Linked DNA regions of Coturnix japonica. The protein of the gene in region 4 purifies or fractionates together with the protein of the main gene of each other region. This does not show direct contact. Links are inferred from orthologs where the notes say so. Each region holds a gene or a part of one and is shown on either strand. Other genes may lie near its edges. The genes, in order: PHF19, JARID2, AEBP2 and EZH1.

Region 1 (5,714 bases), on a different chromosome or scaffold from region 4:
GTTAGGGTTAGGGTTCACCTCACCTTGCCCTGCTACCCTTAGCTCCCTCAGACCTTGCACAGCAAGAGTGGCCCTGGTCTTAGAGCTCCAAATGTTGGATCATGAGCATTTAGGACCAGTGATGCTTCTCCAGCACCACTTCATAGAGGAACAGCCACATGCAGGGAGCGCCAGGGAGATCAGCAAGGCTGTACCCATAGCTGGGTGTGCTGATGGTTCTTTCCTTTTAAATACAGGTATTTTTGGAAAGGGCAACTGGAAGAATCCACTGAAATCCTGCTGGTAAGTGACAGTTCCCCAAGTCACAGCAATTCCCATCCCAGAGCCCAAGCCAAATGGGGCTGCAGGGTGGCATTGAAACCGAGTACCCCCAGGCTCATGGCAGTGGTGCATGGGGGGTGCAGTGGAGCTGTGCCTTCAGGATTGTTCCTTCTCTTTACTCTTTTTTCTTTACTCTCTGCAGATAGTAAAAACAAGGACGTCCAAAATAAGTGAATTGTCCAACTATGTCAGGTGAGCACGGGGCTTTCTATCTGCAGTATGCAGCCATCTCATCCTCAGGCTTTGGGTCTCCTCGAGACCAGTCCCACCCAGGAGAGCTCTAAGGCACTGCTGGGTACACTCTGAGAGCCAGAAAAGCTCCAGCACAGCACCAGCTGGGAGCAGGCTGCTGGGAACATCGGGCTCCCTGCATGGGACAAGGAGGGCTTCAAGGGTCTGCAGGTCCCCCCCATCTGCAGATTTCCTGTCCACCCCACGCGCTGAGTGCTGAGCACAGCTGGTGGCTGTGGTAAACCTCAAACTCAAAGCAGAATTCCCACGTGGCACAAAGTGCTTTGAAGTCAGGGGGGATGGCCCGGGGCAGGGCCCACGCACCACGCTGCTTCCTGCACCGCCAGCCTGTTCCTGCTGTGGGATGTGGCCGTGGCACTGCGCCGCTGCGTCTGTTTCCACTTTAGATCCATCCATCCCTTTGAAATCCCTGAAGTCATCAGCCTGCCTATCGACCAAGGAAACCCCCTCTACCTCAAGTGGATCGGAGAAAACGTCCCACGGGATTGAATGAACAGCCCAGAAACCTCCCTGCTCTTGAGGAGACGCGATGAGACAAGTTCTGCTGGTGTCTGTGCACAGAGTGACACAGGGGAGCAGCTCACATCCCCAGGGGTGTGCTACAGCACAGGGCATAGAGATGGGGAATGTCATTTGCACTTGAGATGTCCCCTCCCTGGCTTGGCCCTGGAGGCAGCACTGCAATGGGGAAGGTCACCATGGGGCTGCTGCTGCCTGGAGGTGCTGGCAGCACTGCCCTGCAGCACCTGGGGATGGTGCAGCGGGTGCCACTCACACACATGGCACTGGCTGAACCTTAGCAAGCGCCCTGCCTGTCAGCTGGGCTGAGCTGGGCAAAGCAACCCCATTCAGGGACCCAGGAGCCAGCAGGGCAAAGCCTCGCTGCTTTCTCCCCAGACCAAGCTGAGCCTTAGAAAATGATGCTCGTGTTGTGTAATTGGATGCAAGTTATGAAATAAATCTATTGTGTGGCTGGGAAGGGAATAAACCAGAGCATTTCCTACCTGCAGCCTCATGAGTCATTGCAGTGCACGGTGCAGTGAGCAGGGCAGGAGGGTCCTGTCAGGGCTCTGTCGGTGTCCATCACAGGTGGTGGGGATGTGGTGCAGGCACTGAGCTGTGCCCAAAGGCTGGTGTGTCCCCAGCAGCAGTTAGAGGTAGTGCAAGGAGGGCTCCCAGGTGCAGGAAACAAGATAGCAGGGAAAATGGTCACTGGGCTGTACCCACGCACAGCTGTTTGCATCGTCCTGCCATCCCCGTGCTTAGCAGCATTTCTCTATAGCACCACCCAGGCATGGGGTGCTGCCCAGGGCCACGCACTGACCCCTCAGTGCCACAAAGAGGCAGTGATGTTAAAAAAAGAAGAAAAAAAGACTTTATAATTGTACATCAGACATATTAATTACAACTTGGATATAACAAGAGTCGGTTATTACAAGCAGCAGCCTGAAACCATAAATCTTTAGAAGGTGCATAGAGTCATTATAGTATCTATTATAACTAATGCAAAATATATTCTGAAACAAAAATACTTTTAAAGGCTCCATATTCAGTTCTCTGCAATAGGCCAGGAGGAGAGGAGAGGGAGAGGAGGAGGGAGCTGCCAAGCTGGGGTCACCCATGTTCTCCCAGCACATCCCATGGGGTTGGTCTGGGTGCAGCTCCTGGCAGTCCCCAGCCCCCCAGGCAGTAACTGGGATAGTCACCTGGGCTCCATAGGCACTCGTGATATGGAAATACATGGTGCTCCCCACCAGGCATGGTGGGGTCTTGGCAGCAACCTCTGCCAAAACACTGGGGCCTCTTGGAGGCAGCTCCATTCAGATGAATAGATGCAAACTGCGCCGTGGCTGCAGCTGAACAGAGCTCAGCACACAGCTCTGCACTGAGCACTGCACCAGTGGCACAGCATGAAGGCGTTGCAGGTCTTTGTATTGCTGTGCCCAGCACTCAGGGTGTTGCAGCTCAAACACATCAGCGGATCTTAGAAAGAACCTAATGATTACATCTGAGAGTAGAACTTAAAAGGTTGCTCCTGAACAAAGTGACTGTATTGCTTTAGACAACAAGGGGTTCTCATTCTCCTTCTATATAGAAAACACACGGTGAAGCAGCAGCATGCCCACAACAGGGACAACCCCATGGGCTGGGGGAGCACCCTGCTGCCTTTTTGGTTTCTTGGCTGGTTTGGCACTGCAGAATGGGCATCTCAAGGAATGAAGAGCAGTCCGGGTGGTGCCCGCTCTGGTTTAAGGCACGTGTGTGTGTTTAGCTGAGCCATGCCAAGAGGTGATTGTTTGGGATGGGGAATGCAGCACATCCAGGCCATGGGATGGGGTCTGAGCCATTTGTAGGGTGTCCTCCCCTCAGAGCAATTCATTCCTCAGATGAATGGGTATGGCATGAGAAGGGAAAGCCCATGGAAGGGCTGCGGCATCACCTGCCATTTCCTATGGTGTAGGGATGAGCCATTGAGCTCCATGGTGTGACAGCAGTGGTGCTTTAGCACTGGGTCCCTGTGAGACCACTGCTCCAACCCGGACATGGTGACTGCAGGCTGAGCCCACACGGAGCCCACGCAGCCCCCGTGCTGCAGAAGGGGCCTGAGCTGCCCCACTCCTCTGGTGCCTCCGGTGTGACTGAAGGCTGAAGCAGGACAGCGCTGCTCTTTACATATACGGGGCTGATAAAATAACAGTTGTCAAAGGAATACAATAAAAAGGCAGAGGGGATCTACCCCTCACAGCTCCAGGCAGCCAGGGTGCCAAACACGGGGCATCCTCCTCCTCCTCCTCTTCCTTCTCTTCCTCCTGTGCTGCACCAAGGCCTGGCTGCACCCAAGGGCTCAGCTGTCAGCTCCAGGAGAGGTGTTTGGACTGGAAGGATGGGTGCTCAGTAGGGGGTGGTCCCTTCCCACTCCACCAGGTACTGCACTTTGCCCTCCAGCGTCACACGCCGTGCCAGCACCTGGTACTTCTCCCCGCACACCAGCCGCCCCGCAGCCCCAAAGTAGCTGCTGATGGACGACTTGAGGTGTGAGAGCGACGAGTCGTCCTCGCTGATGCTCTCAAAGGTGTGGCTGTCGATGCCATCATCCGGACGCTCAGGCCCATACGTCACCTCGCTGCCCTGGGGGCTGCCCACTGCTGGCTGCCTGCTTGCAGCCCCACTGCCACGCTTGGGCCGTGCCAAGGGGGGGGTCAGGACTGTCTGCTTGCGCTTACGGCTGCCCACCGTCCTCCGGCTGCAGGACAGGGAGAGAGGCAATGGGGTGCTGTGAGGGAAGATAGAAGCTCCTCAGGAAGGGGGTGAAGGGGCTGCAGCCCTCACCTGGACTCGCAGGACAGGCTGGTGGTGGCTGAGCCCGAGGTGCTGACAGCATCCGTGGAGTCCACGTCAGAGAGGAAGGTCTGCCCCGAGCTGGCGCTGGGATGGAGGCAGCGTCGGCCCCGCGGCCCCGCACCTCAGAGCTCCCCCAGCACCACAGCTGGGCAGCACTCACCTCTTCAGGCTCTGAATCTCATCCAGTGTGAAGTCAAAGATGCTGGCCAGGTGGTGGTTGGTGCTCCAGGCGGAGGTAAAGTCGCTCTGCACCACAAAAGCCATCACCTCAACACCACAAAGTGGCTCAGAACCCCCTGCCCGGCCATCACAGCTCTCCCTCCCCCATGGCCATCCCAAAGCCCGCAGGGACTCACGCTGGGGATGGCGTCCTCCAGCAGGAACTTGGCCCTTTTCCGCCGCACCGCACGCCGCTTCTGCTGCTGGAGCTGCCCTGGGAGCAGGCTGTAAGCAGAGATAAAAGGCAAGACATAGGGCTGGGGCTGCATAACAGTGCTGGGCAGCTCCCACCTGTCTTTATGTCTGCTCTTCCCTCTCCTCTTCTGCTCACAGGAGCCGCTCTCACCCGGTGCCTTCTCTGGCAGCACTTTGCTGGGGGGGTTTGGTGGGACGCGGATCCGCAGGCGGAAGATGCATTTCTTCTTCTTGATCTCCTTTCCACAGAGAAACCTGGGGATGCAGGAGCCTTCAGCCTGGGGGGGAGGAATGGACCCCAGGAGGGCAGGAGCACTCCATGCACTGTTCCATTCTCAGCCCAGCACTCACCTGCTCTTGTAGCTGTTGAGGGCATTGAGTAGGTGGGGGCCGCGCTCAGACACAGGGGTACCTGTCAGCTGTGGGGAGACACGAGCCTGAGCTCCTCAGGGCAGGATGGCCACCCCAGCCCCTTCTGGCCCCCTGCCCCCTGCGTCCCTGTGCCCCTGAGGCTCTGACCCTTCACACTCAACACCCACAGGCGTTACCTTCCCGAGCTGCAGAGGGTCCCAGTGGTGGTTGACGAAGGCCAAGATCTCCTCGAAGTCAAAGTACTTCTTCTTGCTCTGCACACCCAGGTTGTACAGGGCGAGATGGACCACGTCTACCCTGCAGGAGTGACCAAGGCCAGCAGGTCAGAGAGCAGTGAGCAGTGAGCAGCTCACTGCCAGCAATGCTGGCCCAGGGCACAATGACAGCAGCTCCGTGTCTTGGGACCCCACATCAGCCCCAAGGTGAGGAGTCCAAGGATGCACCAGTCCCAGGACAGACACTCAGTGTTGCAGCTTTCTTCCAAGCTCCAGCCATGCGCTCTCAGTGCACTCCAGTACAGGAGCAGGATGGCTCTTACTCACACATGGGCTGTTTACAAAACATTCTCTCCTGTGGGACTTCACACTTACATCTCCATAAGTGAAAGCCAAGCAGCACATCCTTCAGGATCTCCCTTCTGCACCCAGTGCTTCTCTATGCAACGCCCCCAGTGCAGCTAGCAGTGTTAAGATATTTTACATAGTGCTTTCAGATCATCAAGGTACACTATGGAGTATCATAGAAACTTATATTTAATCTTAAAACTCGATGGCTCGTTCCCAAATTGCTTTTTGCAGTTATCTCCTGGTGAAAGCATGCTTTGGCTCCCTGACAGCACAGCACAGCACACTGGTGCCCCACAAACCCAATGGGGACCCGGCACAGCACAACGGGGCCACGTCAGTTTCTCACCATCGCAGGGGCAGGCGCTTGATGTACTCAGGTCCCTGGTTGCACACGGAGCAGAAAAACACATAGAACCTGGAAAAGAGTGGGGATGGAGAGCATGAGGG
Region 2 (4,923 bases), on a different chromosome or scaffold from region 4:
CAAAGTGGCTAAAATACAAGACCTGGCACATGTTACAGAAAAAGAGTCTACAAAAAAAAAAAAAAAAAAAAAAAAAGAGTCTCAATTTCACTACATTAGGAATATTTCTAAATGAGCAAGCCCTTTAAAAAAAAAAATTAAAAAAAATCTTAAATCTTTAGGTATGCATTTAATACCAAGCCAAGTTATTGGCTAAACTTGCATTTGCTTCGATGGAAATGTGATTTGGCCCCAAAAGGGGGGAGTGTGTATGAATGTCTACTTATATAAGCACCCACTTATCATCATGGATGATTTTATATCTTTCCTGCCAGAGCCAACAGTTTTCTAATCTTTGCACAGTGATGATCTCCAGCCTCTTTACTCCATTTTGTTTTCAATTTTAAATCAAGATAGGTTACAAAATTACTGCAGAAAGGATATACAGGATGCAAATCTTATAAGAGATCGCTGTTTGCTCCAGTTATATAGCACCCAGCAGAATAGAAACCTTGCCTATTAATTAGGCTCTTAGGTACTTAAATAATAAAAATAATTAACAGTAATGCTATCTTAATGCCGAGTTAAGGTATTTCATTAAAAAGTTACCATTGTTCCAGGAGTGTTAATCGAGCTGTCTTGCACATTTTCTTCTCACTCTCGCCAATGTAAATTTAATTCATTACTCGTCTCTATTAGCATATAACCATTGCATACATTAAGCATACAAAATGTTCACTTATTGCTGCTTGAGTGATTTTAATTTTCAGATTTCCTTGAACGTTTTTGCGTGGCTGCTGCAACAGAGCACTAACCCTCACTCCTCCTCCTCCGACACCATCATTCCCTCTTGTGCCCTTCATTGGTTCACCGTGAACCTCATCATCTCTCCGTGTGCTTTTATGCATGTGCACCCACTTACCATACGTAAAAACAAAGTCTTAAAATATGGGGGTGGGTGGAAGGGAGAGGGGAGGGAAGCATTGTGAACAGTTTAAACAGAAAAGTGTGTCCTTTAATCCAACTAGTGTTCATAGCTGCCTCTGATGGGATAATGCCTCAAAGGCAAAACTCTAGCCTCAAGTTGCAACACGCAGATCCTGTGTGCTCTGACTCAAAACACTTCAAAAACAAAGGAGAAGGTTAACACAAATTGGAAACAAAACTTTGTTATTATGTCATGGCTGCAAAGGCAGCTGAGATGGAGGTGAATCATTCAACAGTTCATTTGTATGCTGCTGTTGTCATGTTTTTACAAACTATTGTCACATTTTTGTCACGTGTCATATTTGACAGCAGACCATAAACCAAGAATTCTATTAAATAAGTGATTCTTACTCAGGCATTAGCCTTGGCAGACACCTGCTGCGAGAAATAATGAAACCTCCATTTTGCAATCAACCACATTTTACTGCCTATTCTTGACACTTAATGGTTGTTAAATGTCAGCAGGTCACTGCAAATTTGTGATTTGAAGTGTCTGAGTACCCCAATAGAAATCAGTTTCAAGATATTTTTTCCCCTTGGTTAAATGCTTTTATAGAAAGGGGGGAAAATATTTGTATTCTAGCTTGGCAGCATTGTAACCTGTTTGGAATACGTCTTTGGTACTGTCCAAGAATATTCCAAAATAACATTTAAACGAAGACTATTAATACCCACAGCTGTACTACTTAATAAAATAAACAGTAGGGGCGAAGATCCTGAAATTTGAAGACCAGGATGCTGTAACAGCATTTTTCCCTGGGCAAAACAGAGCTGGAAGGAGGAAGGTGGCAATGCAAAGCCTCTGAGCAAAGCTCTCCCACGACCTACCTGCACCACATCTGACTGGTGGACAAAGAGAGAGAGCCAGGCTCTGCAGTGTTAATTGAACAGAGGTTTGGTTAAGCATACAGGCAAACGGAGCATAAACTAGCACACAGACTCTAACAAGCAGCAGCAAAAGGCCAAGGAAACCACAGCCCTTACCTATGAGTGGGAGTTCGTCCATGGTAATGCCCTGAGATTTGAGGTGCTTCTTGATACAGGCCAGCCGCTGCACGTTGGGTCCCCAGCGCCTGCCTAGCTTGTGTATGTGCTGAATCTGTGTCACAAACCGCATTTCATCGTTTAGCTTGCACTCAGGTCTCCAGTCTGGAGGAGGAATCACCCTGCACATCCCATACTTCTCTACCTGAGCTCGGACTGACTCAATGTATATCAGTGGGTCATGAAATTCCTTGGTGGAGGGCCTAAGGATGGGAATCTCCCCCAGCATCCCCCACCCAGACTTACTACTGCCCTTTTCGTGCTTTCCCATTGAGTCTTGTGGCTTGTGCAAGGACTCCGCTTGAGAGGTAGAACGATTTTCACAGGAGGCATTTTCAGTTTTGCCATGTGCTTGTTTCCCTGGCGTACTCTTTCCAGCAGTGGCTCTTTTCGGCCTATTTCTTTCCAAATTCTTCTCTGGCACTTCCTTTTTAAGGTGTCCATTCAGCAAAGGCTTTTCGACAACTGCCTTTTTGCTCGCAGCTTCTGCCAAGTTGACTGCCCCTTTCATTCTCTTGGTGGGCGACTGTATTTTGTCTATGTAATTAGTCTCTTCCAGCCTCCTCTTCGAATTGCGCAGCCCCTCCCTTAACTGTCTCCCCACCTCCTTAGTGCATGTCTTTTGGTTCAACTTGCCATTGACTTTTACACCATTAACAGCGGTATTGTTAGACTTGGATGCTCCAAGGGATAGCACCTGTTTGCGGGTTTTTGCATTGCTACTTTCTAGTTTCCCTGAGATTGTGTGGTTGACAGGTGAACTGGGTTTGTGGTGATTTAGTTTGGTTTCCTTGACCAGTTCTTTCTTGGCTTTGGTGTATGTGACAGTTCCCTTTGTCACCGTTGCAGTATACTTCACAGTTTTGGACGGTGAAGGTCTGACGTCTCTCATCTTTTTGGCACTGGCTGCATTTGCACTCGGAGATGACATTCGAGTGACTCCGTTGACTTTAGAAACCTACAAAGCCAGGAGCATCGCAGGGGGAGCAGAAGGAAGGAAACATAAAACAGAAAAATAAATTAATGAGGTTGCCAGTCCGCCACAGTTTCCCACTTACTGGACAACCATATTCTGCAGTCCTGACTCCTGGCCCTTTTGTACAATCTTCCTATAATAATTTTCACCCAGGCAGGAGGAAAGACTGGGTGTTCTGAATATGAAATACACATTATTATTATTATTATTCTACAATGAACCAAGATGTCCCCAGAAAGGTGATCTTGCTTTTGGAGGGTATGAAGCCTCTGGTACTAAGAAGGGTGAGGTCACTTGCTAGCAATACCCTCTTCTTTCCCTACCAAAAAACAAGTTACACTATCTACAAACTAATACTGTTATTATCTCCTTTTCCAGACCTCAAAGGCTATTCCCTCACCCACCCAACTTCCTTTAAGGGCACACATAGTTTCCTATGTAGTAAACAGACTAACCAGTGTGTAACATCTACTCTAACCTGCATGTTTTGCAAAAACCACACACTTAGATTCACACAAACCTCCTCTCTATGCACACATACCTACATATAGAAATAAATATTGAACACATTATGTACCCAACAGATCAGGACAGCCATGAGGGATCCAGTCTGTCTTATACATTAAAGCCAGGGAGGTGTCTTGTTGCTTTAGTTATTAACATGAAATAAAAATGCATACGGGAGTTCAGTGCATTTTTTAAAAGGTGGTTTTGTGTATTTGTTTATGAAGTTTGATATCTGGGCAGTTTTACTGACTCATCATTACTCACTAATGTGCCACTGCAATTTACAAGAACTGGACTCCATTTCTTTCTGTTAGGCACTTTAATCCAATTACAAAACTAAAATTAGTATTTTAATTATAAGACATGTTAAACACTGAGAGCCACCCTTTCAGAAAGCAGCCTTCAGCTTCAAAGGGAATTGTGACAGCTCAGCACTGTCAAAGCAAGCCCCACTGCTAAGAAAATGAAAGTTCAAGATTAAACCTTTAGAAAGTTAAACCATTTAAACAAGTTTGAACACTTTCTCTGACCTCCTTAAACTACCATAAGCAAGGAAAAATACACTCAAAAACCAAAGGAACACTGATAAATGTGCATACAATACGACAATCGCCCCTTATTGGCACTCAGGTAAGGAGCACCATTTCTACAAAGCTACAGTACTTTCCTGTGGGATTTCAAAATGCTTGTCAAATCAGTAAGCATGGTACCTTCAAATAAAGAATTCAAGAAATTGAATCACTTTATAAAATAGGGATGTTATAAAATAGGGATAAAATGACTGACTGAAAAGAGCACACTACAGTCTCCCATTAAGTGTGTATTTACCATTTTCCCTTGAAATTTAGGCAGCAGAATTTGAAATGTAGGCCAGGTTTGACTTTTACAGAGCCTTCTTACAGTGTAGAACAGACACAGGTAGAGATCTGCTGAGACACTGCCTCCGGCCTGCAGCTGTCAGCACAAGAACTCTGGCTTTATAAACAGCCAGGAACATTGATTACAGATTTGATCCAGACTAATTGAGAAGAATTGATTAAGGACTGGAAGGGGAAAGGTAATCTGGATGACAGTGATTATGAAATGTGTTTTCAATTCTAAAATATGACAATACCAGAGAAAGGACAACAGATTTTAGGGGGAAAAAAATCTGAAAAAAAAAGAAAAACCCCCACCCAAAAACCAACCCCAAACCCAAACAATTCCCACTCAGGAGGATACAAAGTATAGACCATTATGCTTGTTCATAATGAGCTCAAAAAAAAATCTAAGGTCACAGTTAAAAACGGAAGCAGAATTATGTGACTAAGCGCAGTTATAGTAGAATAGTAAAAGCATGTAGGAATAAAATCAGAAAGGTCAAGGAATTTCAGTTAGCAAGGGGCACAAAATGAAACACGAGAGATTTTATAAATACTTCAACAATACAA
Region 3 (4,923 bases), on a different chromosome or scaffold from region 4:
AAGTCACATCTTGTTTGTTTTTACAAATGGGAGTCTTGTTATTAATAAAATATATATGGGTAGATATAAGAAGTAAGACTGGTTGTCTTGGAAGTATGAGTCTTAGCAGAACAGTTCTGTTTGTAGTACTGGTGGCAGGTCTTACACCTTCAATGTGACTGCACCTAGTTTATTTTGTTTTTAACTGAAGTATGTATTTAAGTTTAATATCTGGTTAAGTGGTGTGGTTTTGGTAGGTCTCACAATTTTAAGGTTTTAAATAATCTCTAAGTAGTGTGATATTAACTCTGCACTTCTCCAGTTGTGTCATTGTGACTCATTGGCTGCATTTAGTTCATGTTAATTGTTATGGCTGAACTTCCAGCTTGATATTTAGTGACTTTTTTCAGTCCAAACTCCAGGCAGAATCATCTGACCAATGTGCCAGCTTCTTAGTCACCCACGAGACAGACTTTTGTAGTTCTGTTTGTGGGTTTATAAACGTGTTACGTGTATCCTGGATGAAACAATTAAGTGGATGAGATGTATCAGTATCCTGTGGGATTTCATATAAATGCATCTTTGGTGACCTTTGTCCCACCCGTGACCCCTTAGAAAGAGATTGAAAAACCTGAAAAATGTTTCATGCTTACGTTTGGTGTGATTTGTGGATATTTTTACTTAGAAAACGTCACTGTATTCATCTTTCTGAAAGAGACAGCTGTAGGTAACGCTGTGTGCCTGATTATTGTGTTCAGTTCACACTCCTTTTATTCCCCCTGGTGGAGTTGATTTATTTGTTGTAAAGTTTCTCCACTGGACGCTCTGCAGGGGAATGATGCTGGCTGTTTTCTTCCAAGGGTTGGTTCGCCATCTGCTGGTGAGGCGGTTAAGTGGTGCATCTTCTAGGGATTTTCATTGGATTTCAAAACTTAATCAACTCAATGAATATAAACGTGAAAGAAGTAGTAAAAGCTTACTGGAAACTTATAAGCATGCTTATCATGTTGCATTTATGGTGGTAATATGTGTATTTTCTAAGTTAATATTAAGATAGCAGTTCTACTCCATGTAGAATCATGAATGTCCAGGATACTCATTTCATACTAGTGGAATAATAGTTTTACCTCCCTGAAATGTTTTGTTAGAAATAGTTTGGATTCAGCCTTCAGAGATGTGTTCCCAAAAAGCCTTGCTGGGGTTTCTTGTGGGTTGCTGTAAAACCTAGTGCACGTTTTCTGAGGAGGTTGTGTTTCAACAACCTGTTGTTTCATATTAGTTCCTTTCTGAGTGCTCTGCAGTTGATGATGGAGATACTGGGACAATTAATGAAGTGTTTTGTTACCAGAAATCTGAAAATTCCAGTTCATTGGCTACAGGAAGACTTTAAAAACTGAGAAACAGCAGACACCAAAGCATCAGAAAGTTAGGCCTCATGTCAGTAGACCTTGATCAGTCACATAGGCGTACAAGGTTTTCCAGCTTTGCATTAGTAAGTTGGGCTGTCTGTATGTTATATAGCAAGCACATAGCACTCCTCTGGCTATTCTTTTGTTTTGGAAGTACAGTCTTTTGAAGGTTCAGTTTTTTAATCTCTGAAAGAGAACAAGAAACTCAAATCCAATTAGCTGCTTGCAGTTCTGAAAGGTATTCTGAAAGTATTTTGGACAATGCTAGTCCTGGGGACTGTATTCTGCTGCTAAAAATTAGGGCTGTACCTCCCTTCACACACAGGCTTGTTGAGGAATTTCTGATGAAAGCCAAGTTCATTGAGCTTTTTTTATTCTCTAGGTTATAGATAGACACAATGAGAGGAGAGAGAAAAGCAGCATGAGTAAGTTCTACTCCCTTTAATGCACTATTGTGCGTGTGACTAATCTGTACATGGAAATAGCTAAACACCCATAGATTTTGAATCCTATGGAAGATTTTAACTTTATTCATCAGGAAGTGAGCTTAAAACCTTAACTAGGGTTATCCAGTATTCTGTAGTATGAGACTTATATTTAAACAACTGTGTTTTAATTAAGGCTTTAACTTTTCTTTAAGAAGGCAGTTATTTCTTCCTTATGAGATGAAACCATTTTATCCTTTATATTTTTGCTATCCAGAAAACGTGAATTTCATCATATAAAAATTCTACATCTCAGTGCTTGGGTGATACTGATACACAGGGCAAGTGCAAGCTGTGGCTCTTGGTTGTATTTATCTGCAGGATTGCCTGGCTTTTTATGTTTTATTTTTGACTACTTGTGGTTTCAGTTGTTTTGGCCTTGGTGAGATGAGAAGCGTGTTGCAGAATAAATGCTTGATTCAAAATTCTTTTAGCATGCTTCTTTGCTAATTAATTTTTTCTTACTGTTTTCGTTGACTTGTATAAACTGACCATATTTTTACTTTATCAGGTGTTTGTTTGCTTGTGGAAAGGTTGCAAAGTATATAATACACCTTCAACAAGTCAAAGTTGGTTGCAGAGGCATATGCTGACACACAGTGGGGACAAACCTTTCAAGGTAAGATTTATAGCAAGGTATATTATCCTTTATTTTATGAGAAATCTCTTTATTTTTCCTTATATAATGTATTAATTGAAAAATGCTGTCACAGGAGGATTTGTTAAAACTTACCAAGTGAGATAAACTTGTCTTTGACACTACCCAAAGATTCTGTTGTTATGAAACACAATTGAAGATACTGCTTCTCTGTCCCTGTTCTTTTAAACCTGTGAACAGTAGGGTAATCTGAACTAAAATAATGCTTGTGTTCAGTTACTTGTGCTTTTCAAAGCTGAGCTGTTTATGGTGTAACAGCGAGATGCTTTGCCTCATGCTTCACGCTTTGGTTGGTGCCTGATGGTGCTCATTCTGTTCTTGAATGAGCTGTTTTTGTTAACAGTATTCATTTGAAACAGTCAGTGTCTGTGTGTGGTTAACTTCTCTGAGAATGATAAGGAAGTCAGGATTGCAGGACCATTGAGCTGACTGTATTACCTGCGTAGTATTTTCTAACTTTCTCTTTCTTTCTTCCCCTAATCTGTACCTGCAATTCTAGGTATAGTAATGTTTATCATTCCCATATCCACCAATCCGTTATTAATGAGTTGCTTCATCCTCTTATGGATACAGTTGGGGCAGTTCATAGCTGTCAGTCCTGGATCACTTGATGGTAAGTCTCACCCACGCTACTTCAGATTGAAGTTCTTCCATCTAGGGTTTGAAAAATGAATGAGGGTACTTTTTTATTACATCTAGGTAGCATTTTATACCTTCCTTCCCCTTCCTTGCCCCAGCCCATCAGGTTTTAGTCACTGCTTCTCTGCTTCTGTTTTCTGTCTTGCGTAACGTTGTCTACTTTTTTTAAATTTTAGGGCAGTTTTATTACAAAAAAGTACTTTCCCGTTACAGTGACCTCTCTCAGAAGTTATTGTTTCTGCACAGCTTGTTATAGTAGCTATGACAGAAAACTATACTCAAAACCCAGAGGGTGAAAATAGTTCAGTGCAGGTGAAATATTATATATATATATATTTCCCTTCCAAACTGCTTAGTTTAGTATGAACATTTCATACAGAATGAATGGCAGGGAGTAAATTCTGTTCTTGAGATTATTGTATTCTTTGTTCAAAGGAATTAAGTTAGCATGCTGTTGGAAGCTAGCGTAAGGATCATAGATCTCTGAAAGAAGCTTTCAAATATGATTGTTCCAGTAACTGATCTGATTATAACTGCAAATCCTTGAATCAAACTTGAAAATGAATAACTGGGGGAAACTTGTACCTTCTTTCTTCTCATTTTAGAACTGGGGGTGTGCTTTAAAGTGCAGTGGCAGGTTTTGGTCTTATGAGTCTTCTGGTAGGTTAGTTTGTGTACTTGCTTGTTATAGATCAAAGAAACTCAATGTAGAGATACTGAGTTTAAAAGAGGAGAGTATACCTCAAGAAAAAGAGTACTTCTTGAGTCTTAGGAGTGTTATCCAGCCAAGTGAGTAAAATTAATATCTCAGGTTTTGGGTTTTTTTGGTGTTTTTTTTTTTGGCTAACCTCTTCAAAGCCCTGCAGTTTCAAACAGTTGGTTCTGATAATAAACATCTTGTGTTAAGTGTGGATTATTTCCCCAGCTAGTTTCCCCTGGCCACCCTTGGGGAAAGAATAAAACATAGGCTGGATTTGCAGTAGTTTATTGTTGTAGCTCAAAGTGTGTCATTTCCTTTTGTTTTTTTTCCCTACCGTTGTCTTCAGTGTTTCTGTTTGTATTTTATCTTTATATTTTCCAATCTGTTCCTGGGAGCTTTGGGTGGAGGATAATTGTGTTGTGAACTTAGTAAAATTCTTTTGTTCCCCCATGAATGTAGTCCTCTGAGCCCACGTGATGTGATTGTGATAACCTGTTAGTTAACTAGACTCCTTTCTTCACTTGATTCCTTACTTTTTCAAGCTTTTGAAATCTGTCTGATAGAAAATCACTTAAGAAATAACACGAAGGATCAGCTGTTGCTTTGTCTTACATCAGTTCAGAACCAAAATGGTTTTGCATTTTAGCTGTTCTTATAAAACTTAATTCCTCACATTTCTAGCAGAAGCCAAAGTTTTTCGAGTTAGAGTTGTATTGAAGACCTCGTTCTTGATTATCTAAATTAAAAAAATAAACACCTAAATTAAAAAAAAAAAATGAACAAAAAAAGAAAATCTATTGCTTTGTAAGCTCACACTGGAGCTCTAGCTTATAGGAAGGAATCATCAGTTTAGAGGACTCTGAAAAATGCCAAGGCATTCACTCTTTTGTTCATAAACAAATGCCAGAATTTGTGAGGGGTTTACTTAGAAGGCAGTAGAAATGACAGAGCTTGGTTCTGTTGTCTGAAGAACTGCTCAGGGTGGTTTTAAAAAAAGGCAAAGGATGTTAGCTATGGAGGTGATGATAAAATGCAGAGGAAATTTACTTTTGT
Region 4 (5,514 bases):
GACCCCCGGGCATCGCCCCACACCTCACCCTGGGCAGCAGAGGGGCTCCCGCAGCACGGCCGCTTCACAAGGCCGCTGTTTGTTTACTTGTGTATTTCTCTTTAATCCTGTCTGGGCTGGGTTGTGAAATCCCTCGTCTCCTGCGTGGAGGGCAGGCAGCCCGGCAGCGGGGGGAGTGGACGGTGGAGCAGGACGTCCCCGGAGGGTTCTGCTGGAGGCTCGGGGTCGTTACGGCCCCAGCCCCGTGTTCATGGCGCCGTGTGGCACCTGCCCCGGGGGCACGGGTGGGGCTGGAAGGGACGGCGGCGGTACCACGGGTGTGCGAGCCTCAAGCAGGCAGGAGGAGAGGATGGGGCGAGGGACTGTGGCTGCAGAGCTCCTCTTCATCCCGTGCCACCTCGGCTCCCACCTCAGGGCAGCGCGGTGCTGGCTCTGCAGGGTCCCCACCCGGGGATGGAGCTCAGGCCACGCGAGCTCATCTAACTGCTTGCCAAAGGCTGAGCTCCAGCCCAAAGCTTTCCCTTTAAAATCCACTCATGGGACTCACAGAGCACAAATCACACAGCAGAGAATTGCAGTTCATGGGGACCCTCCCTGCTTTGGAAGGATTCTATTGCTGTGCTGCACATTCCTGCTGCAACACACTGCACGTGCTATGTGCAGGCTGAGGCAGCCGCCACCCTCCTGGCACTTGGGAGCCCTTCAGCGGTACCGGGAGCCCACGAGGCTGCGGCACAAAGTCACAGCCCCATTCTGCACTTTGTTGTCACAGCCCTGGAGCTGCAGCCGGCAGCAGGAGCCTCTGCCAGGGTGACACCCGGTGATCTCAGCCGGCCACTCCTTGCACAGCCGGGGCAGTCTGCCAGCACCCACTGCTCCCCAGCCCCATTTTGCAAGCTCCCCCCAGCCCTTGGCTGCAGTGCTGTGAGGGGGACTCGACTGAGCAGCGGGGGAAGCATTTCCCATGTTCTGGGCTGGGCTGCAGCCGTCCCGAGCCCTGCTGCCAGCCTCGGCCCATGGCACAACGGGCACAGACGCAGCCTGGACCCCGCCTGCTGCTTTGACTCGCTCTGCAGCTGCCCACGTTGCGCTCTGGGGCTCAGCGCAGTGTGGGCAGTGAGGCTGCGGGGGTTGCGCTGGGTCCAACCCAGACCCCAGGTTCTGCCGGTAGTGGGAGCAGGAGCCGCAGCCCCGACGAGCATCTTCCCACCGGCTGCAGCTTCCCCCCGTGCCGGGGCGTATCACCGAGCTCATCTCGGCACCTTCCACCCGCGCTCAACCCAATGTCAGGGAAGGCGGAAGGTTCTGCCCGACTCAGCAGGACGGGCTCAAAGGCAGCAGATACGGCCAGGACCGGGGCTGAGCTGTGGGATGAGCAGCCAACGGCCCCGCTCACTGCCCGGACAGGGACCCGCGGGTTCCCCCCGCTCCTTCCGGCTGGGCGGAGGGGAAGGAAGGAAGGAAGGAAGGAAGGAAGGAAGGAAGGAAGGAAGGGGCCCGGCCGGGAGCGCGGCTGGGGAAGGGAGCGCCCGGCCGCAGCCCCGAGCAGAGCGGGGCCGGGCGGAGCCGAGTGGAGCCGGGCGGGGCCGGGCCGCGAGCGGCCGGTTCCGGTGCGGGGCGCCGCCCTTCCCGGTCGGAGCCGCAGCTCCGGGGCTGCACCGCGCGGGGCGGGGCGGCGGCGAGGGGCGGGGCTACGGCGGCGCATGCGCAGTGCGCGGGGAGCGCGGCCTCCCCCGGCGCGATGGCCGAGGAGTGAGTGCGGGGCGGGGCGGGGCCTGGGGTCCGGCGGGGGGCGGGGGGCGGCCCGGCACGGCGGGAGGGGCCCGGGAGGGAGCGAGGGGTCGGCGGGGGTGGGGGATGGAGCGGGGCGGTAGTGCCGTGGTAGTGCCGTGGTAGTGCCGTGGTAGTGCCGTGCCCTGTGGGGGCTGGCGGCTGCTCGTAGGGGGCAGATCTAAGTCCCCTGAGGCCCCGTGGGGCCCCGTGGGACCGTGGGCTGTTGTATGGGGTGCGCCGGGCCCGATGGACGGGGCAGCGCCCGGGGGTTGGGTGAGGCCTGGGAGCGGGCACCGGGCGGGGCAGCGGCTGAGGCCTGTCCCGGACACTCCGCAGTGTCACCGTCCCGGCAGCCACCGGGGGTCCCCGTGTCCCCTCGTGGCTGGAGGCTGCGGTGATGGGGGCCCAGGGAACCCCCGTGGGTGGAGTGGAGCGGCCCGCTGGGTACGTACAGCCCGGGCCGGGGACTCAGACTCCTGGATGGGAGCTGAAGCGTCCCTTGGGCTCACAGGGCGATGCCCGATGCCCAAACCCCCGGCTCCAACTTCTCCATCAGGTCGCACTGTGTATTCCCAGCCAGGAGCTGTCCTGTGCTGACAGCCTGCGCAATGTCCTTCCCAGCCTCCTGGCAATGAGATATTCTGAGCTGGATGTAACACTGCTCCTGACATGTTGGCCTCCCAGCGCCCTGTGAATCGAAAGATTACAAGCAGGAAGGAGAGCTGCTTGGACAGCGACAAGACAAGGGGGACTGTCCATAAGCTATAGAGGGCAGGCTTAAGTCAGATGTGAGGAAGCAATTCACTCCTCAGAGGTGGTGAGGTCCTGGCACTACTGCCCAGAGAGCTGTAGGTGCCCAAGGCCAGGCTGGGTGGGGCCCTTGAGCAGCCTGAGCTGGTGGGGGCACCCAGCTCATGGCAGGGGATGAGGCTGGAGGGGCTTTAAGGTCACTTCTAACTCATCGTTCTGTGAGTTTATTCTTACTGTATTTTCATAGAAAAATGGAAATCGCCACTCCTCCAACATCAAAGTGTATTATGTATTGGAAAAGAAAAGTCAAGTCTGAATATATGCGTCTCCGGCAGCTCAAGAGATTTCAGGCAAACATGGGAGCAAAGGTAAAGACACAGTGGCTCTGGTTGGAATGATCTCTGCTATAGACTTCAGTTTGCAGTATTGGAGCTTTTATCAGATGAGTGATGCATGATGAGAACTGTGAAGTGAGTGCTTCTTTCTCTCATTTCAGGCTCTATTTGTGGCCAACTTTGCAAAGGTTCATGAAAAGACTCAAATACTTAATGAAGACTGGAAGAAGCTTCGAGTTCAACCAGTGCAGTTAATGAAGCCAGTCAGCGGGCACCCCTTCCTAAAACAGGTAGGGAGAGCTGTGTTAGTATCAGTCTGTGCCTAGCACTCTTTCATGGTGCAGGGTAAAAACAGCTTTTACTGTCAAACACGGTGAGTGAACGCAGCCTTTGCTATGTTTGCCCTGAAGTGCTGTTTCTTTCTGTGATGGTGACAATCTCCCAGAGGCTGCTTCCTCACCGTCCTTCTCACTTCTACCCTAGTGTACAGTTGAGAGCATTTTTCCAGGATTTCCAAGCCAGACACTGTACATGAGGACGCTGAACACAGTGGCGCTGGTGCCTATCATGTACTCGTGGTCCCCCCTTCAGCAGAACTTCATGGTAGGTGGGAATACTCTCTGGTGCAAGGTCTTTGTGAGATTATTGTGTAACCGCAATGTCTGCTCAGGAAGACATGGTAGAAAGTTGTGTTGTGTGCTTTCCCTCCAAGCATGCAACACAACTTTCCCTTTTGCTCCCTGCTAAAACACTCCTCAGCTTCAGATGTATTCCTTCTAGAATGAATTGTCGTTTTGCCTCCTTCACTGTTCCAGTTTTACTCTCTTAATCACTACAACTTTGACATTTTTGGCTCTTCATTGTTCTTGGCAGTGTGTGTGTTTCTGTAACCTTTGGATACTGTTCTCTTCTTTTTAACATCAAATGCATTTTTTGAGGTTAGAGTTATTCTGATAGAATGGGATAGCAATGAAATGGCAGTGGTGAGACACATGAAATTTGAGCTGGGGAGGCTGAACATTTGCTTTATGCAGTGTTTTCTGCATGCAGTGGACGGGAGCAGCCTTAGAGACACAGCTTGGCTGGGAATTAGAAAGCGCTAGTTTACTGAATTGTATCTAATTGCTTTTCAGGTGGAGGATGAAACTGTTCTGTGCAACATCCCTTACATGGGAGATGAGGTGAAGGAAGAGGATGAAACCTTCATTGAAGAGCTTATTAATAACTATGATGGGAAAGTTCATGGAGAGGAAGGTAATTTGGGAGCAGAAACACTTAGCAGTTCAGTTTCTTGCAAGTAAGATATCAAAGTAGTTAAGAAATCACAAGATGGTAGCAGTAACCATCTTTTATCTGAGAGCACTAAGAGCAGAAAAGCAGAAATGCGTGCCTGCAGTTCTGGTTTATAAGGATGCACTCTTGGCTTTTGATCCCCCACTCTGTTCTAGACTCAGGATTAGGTGGAGTTCAGCACCGTCATTTCACTTGTGACCCTAGCCATGACTTGAAGCTTTTCAGAGACAAAAAGTCTGCATGCTTTCCTAGCTCATCATAAAACTGTGTAGAGGGTGGAGTGCAGCAAAAAATTCTGTTGTATGGGCTATCTTCAGGTCTCCAAAAGTGTTACAGCACTCTTAGGGCTCCAGAGCATTAAAACTCTACCCGTCCCTACAAAATCACCAGGAAAGTTTTTGTTTATAACTGTGTTGTGTGGCTGAAGAACATCAGTGGCCCTCCTACAGACTGACTGACATCACTGTATTTCAGAAATGATTTCAGGGTCAGTCCTCATCAGTGATGCTGTCTTCCTGGAGCTCGTGAATGCCCTGAATCAGTACTCAGATGAGGAAGAGGAAGGACACAATGATTCTGAAGTCAAACAGGAGGATGGGAAAGAGGAGCTGCCAGTCACAAGAAAAAGAAAACGAATTGCAGCGGAAGGTGGGTTTGGCTACAGAAATTAGTCGTGTGTTGGTCGTGTTTGCATCCTACTTTGCCTGAGGGAACACCAGAACTTCTTGCAGATGTAGAAAACTAATGTATGTAAATCCTGTCCAGGTAAAAATAAATGGTGATATTCCTTAAGAAATCAATATATTATCTACTCTGAAAGCAGTGGAGTACCATGTGGAAGTGCTTTAGCCTGCTTTCAAGACAATAGGTTATGTGTAATTGCATTTCTGTCTCTTAACCTGCAATCCAGAGCACCTGGAATCACTCTCAGGAAAAAGGCAAGTTCTATTCATGTGCAGCGTAACTGAGGAGTCATCTCTTTTTTTTCCGTAGGTAACAAGAAGTGTTCCAAGAAACGGTTTCCAAATGACATGATATTCACTGCCATTTCTTCTATGTTTCCTGAATATGGCTTCCCAGATGACATGAAAGAGAGGTAGATCTCTCCTTAAGTTGTTTGTTACTTTTGATAGGGGCAGTTAAAACGTGCATTTCAGAAAACAGCGCTGCGCATGTAGAGCTCACTTGGCTTCAGACACTCTGGGAAGGTCAATTTTTGAGTATTACAAACTTTGTTTTAGCTTAAAGATATCCAAACCAGAGTCATAAGATCTGTAGTCACGTGAAGTCCTGTTAAATGTCCCAAATTAGGAAAGCATACACATCTGTGGGTGTTTGTTGAATAGGTACCGAGAGCTCACAG

Evidence for each region.
Region 1: the proteins of EZH1 (region 4) and PHF19 purify together in Homo sapiens (affinity purification with mass spectrometry; 4 studies listed by BioGRID and IntAct, counting the BioPlex papers as one, with this or other methods). This does not show direct contact. The link is inferred for Coturnix japonica from reciprocal best matches to the Homo sapiens genes EZH1 and PHF19.
Region 2: the proteins of EZH1 (region 4) and JARID2 purify together in Homo sapiens (affinity purification with mass spectrometry; 4 studies listed by BioGRID and IntAct, with this or other methods). This does not show direct contact. The link is inferred for Coturnix japonica from reciprocal best matches to the Homo sapiens genes EZH1 and JARID2.
Region 3: the proteins of EZH1 (region 4) and AEBP2 purify together in Homo sapiens (affinity purification with mass spectrometry; 3 studies listed by BioGRID and IntAct, with this or other methods). This does not show direct contact. The link is inferred for Coturnix japonica from reciprocal best matches to the Homo sapiens genes EZH1 and AEBP2.

The regions. Positions count from the first base shown.
Region 1 is NC_029532.1:6,765,795-6,771,508, forward strand, and holds the end of PHF19 (PHD finger protein 19), read right to left. Parts: intron 5,683-5,714; coding exon 5,614-5,682; intron 4,999-5,613; coding exon 4,878-4,998; intron 4,749-4,877; coding exon 4,681-4,748; intron 4,585-4,680; coding exon 4,272-4,584; intron 4,162-4,271; coding exon 4,076-4,161; intron 4,000-4,075; coding exon 3,904-3,999; intron 3,848-3,903; coding exon of another isoform or gene 3,818-3,847; coding exon 3,466-3,817; 3' UTR 1,924-3,465; downstream 1-1,923.
Region 2 is NC_029517.1:67,736,269-67,741,191, forward strand, and holds part of JARID2 (protein Jumonji), read right to left. Parts: intron 2,969-4,923; coding exon 1,951-2,968; intron 1-1,950.
Region 3 is NC_029516.1:59,185,233-59,190,155, forward strand, and holds part of AEBP2 (zinc finger protein AEBP2), read left to right. Parts: intron 1-2,384; coding exon 2,385-2,492; intron 2,493-4,923. UniProt on the Homo sapiens protein: Acts as an accessory subunit for the core Polycomb repressive complex 2 (PRC2), which mediates histone H3K27 (H3K27me3) trimethylation on chromatin leading to transcriptional repression of the affected target gene.
Region 4 is NC_029542.1:4,628,991-4,634,504, reverse strand, and holds the start of EZH1 (histone-lysine N-methyltransferase EZH1), read left to right. Parts: upstream 1-1,889; 5' UTR 1,890-2,170; coding exon 2,171-2,217; intron 2,218-2,770; coding exon 2,771-2,891; intron 2,892-3,019; coding exon 3,020-3,148; intron 3,149-3,341; coding exon 3,342-3,461; intron 3,462-3,991; coding exon 3,992-4,112; intron 4,113-4,625; coding exon 4,626-4,799; intron 4,800-5,144; coding exon 5,145-5,247; intron 5,248-5,497; coding exon 5,498-5,514.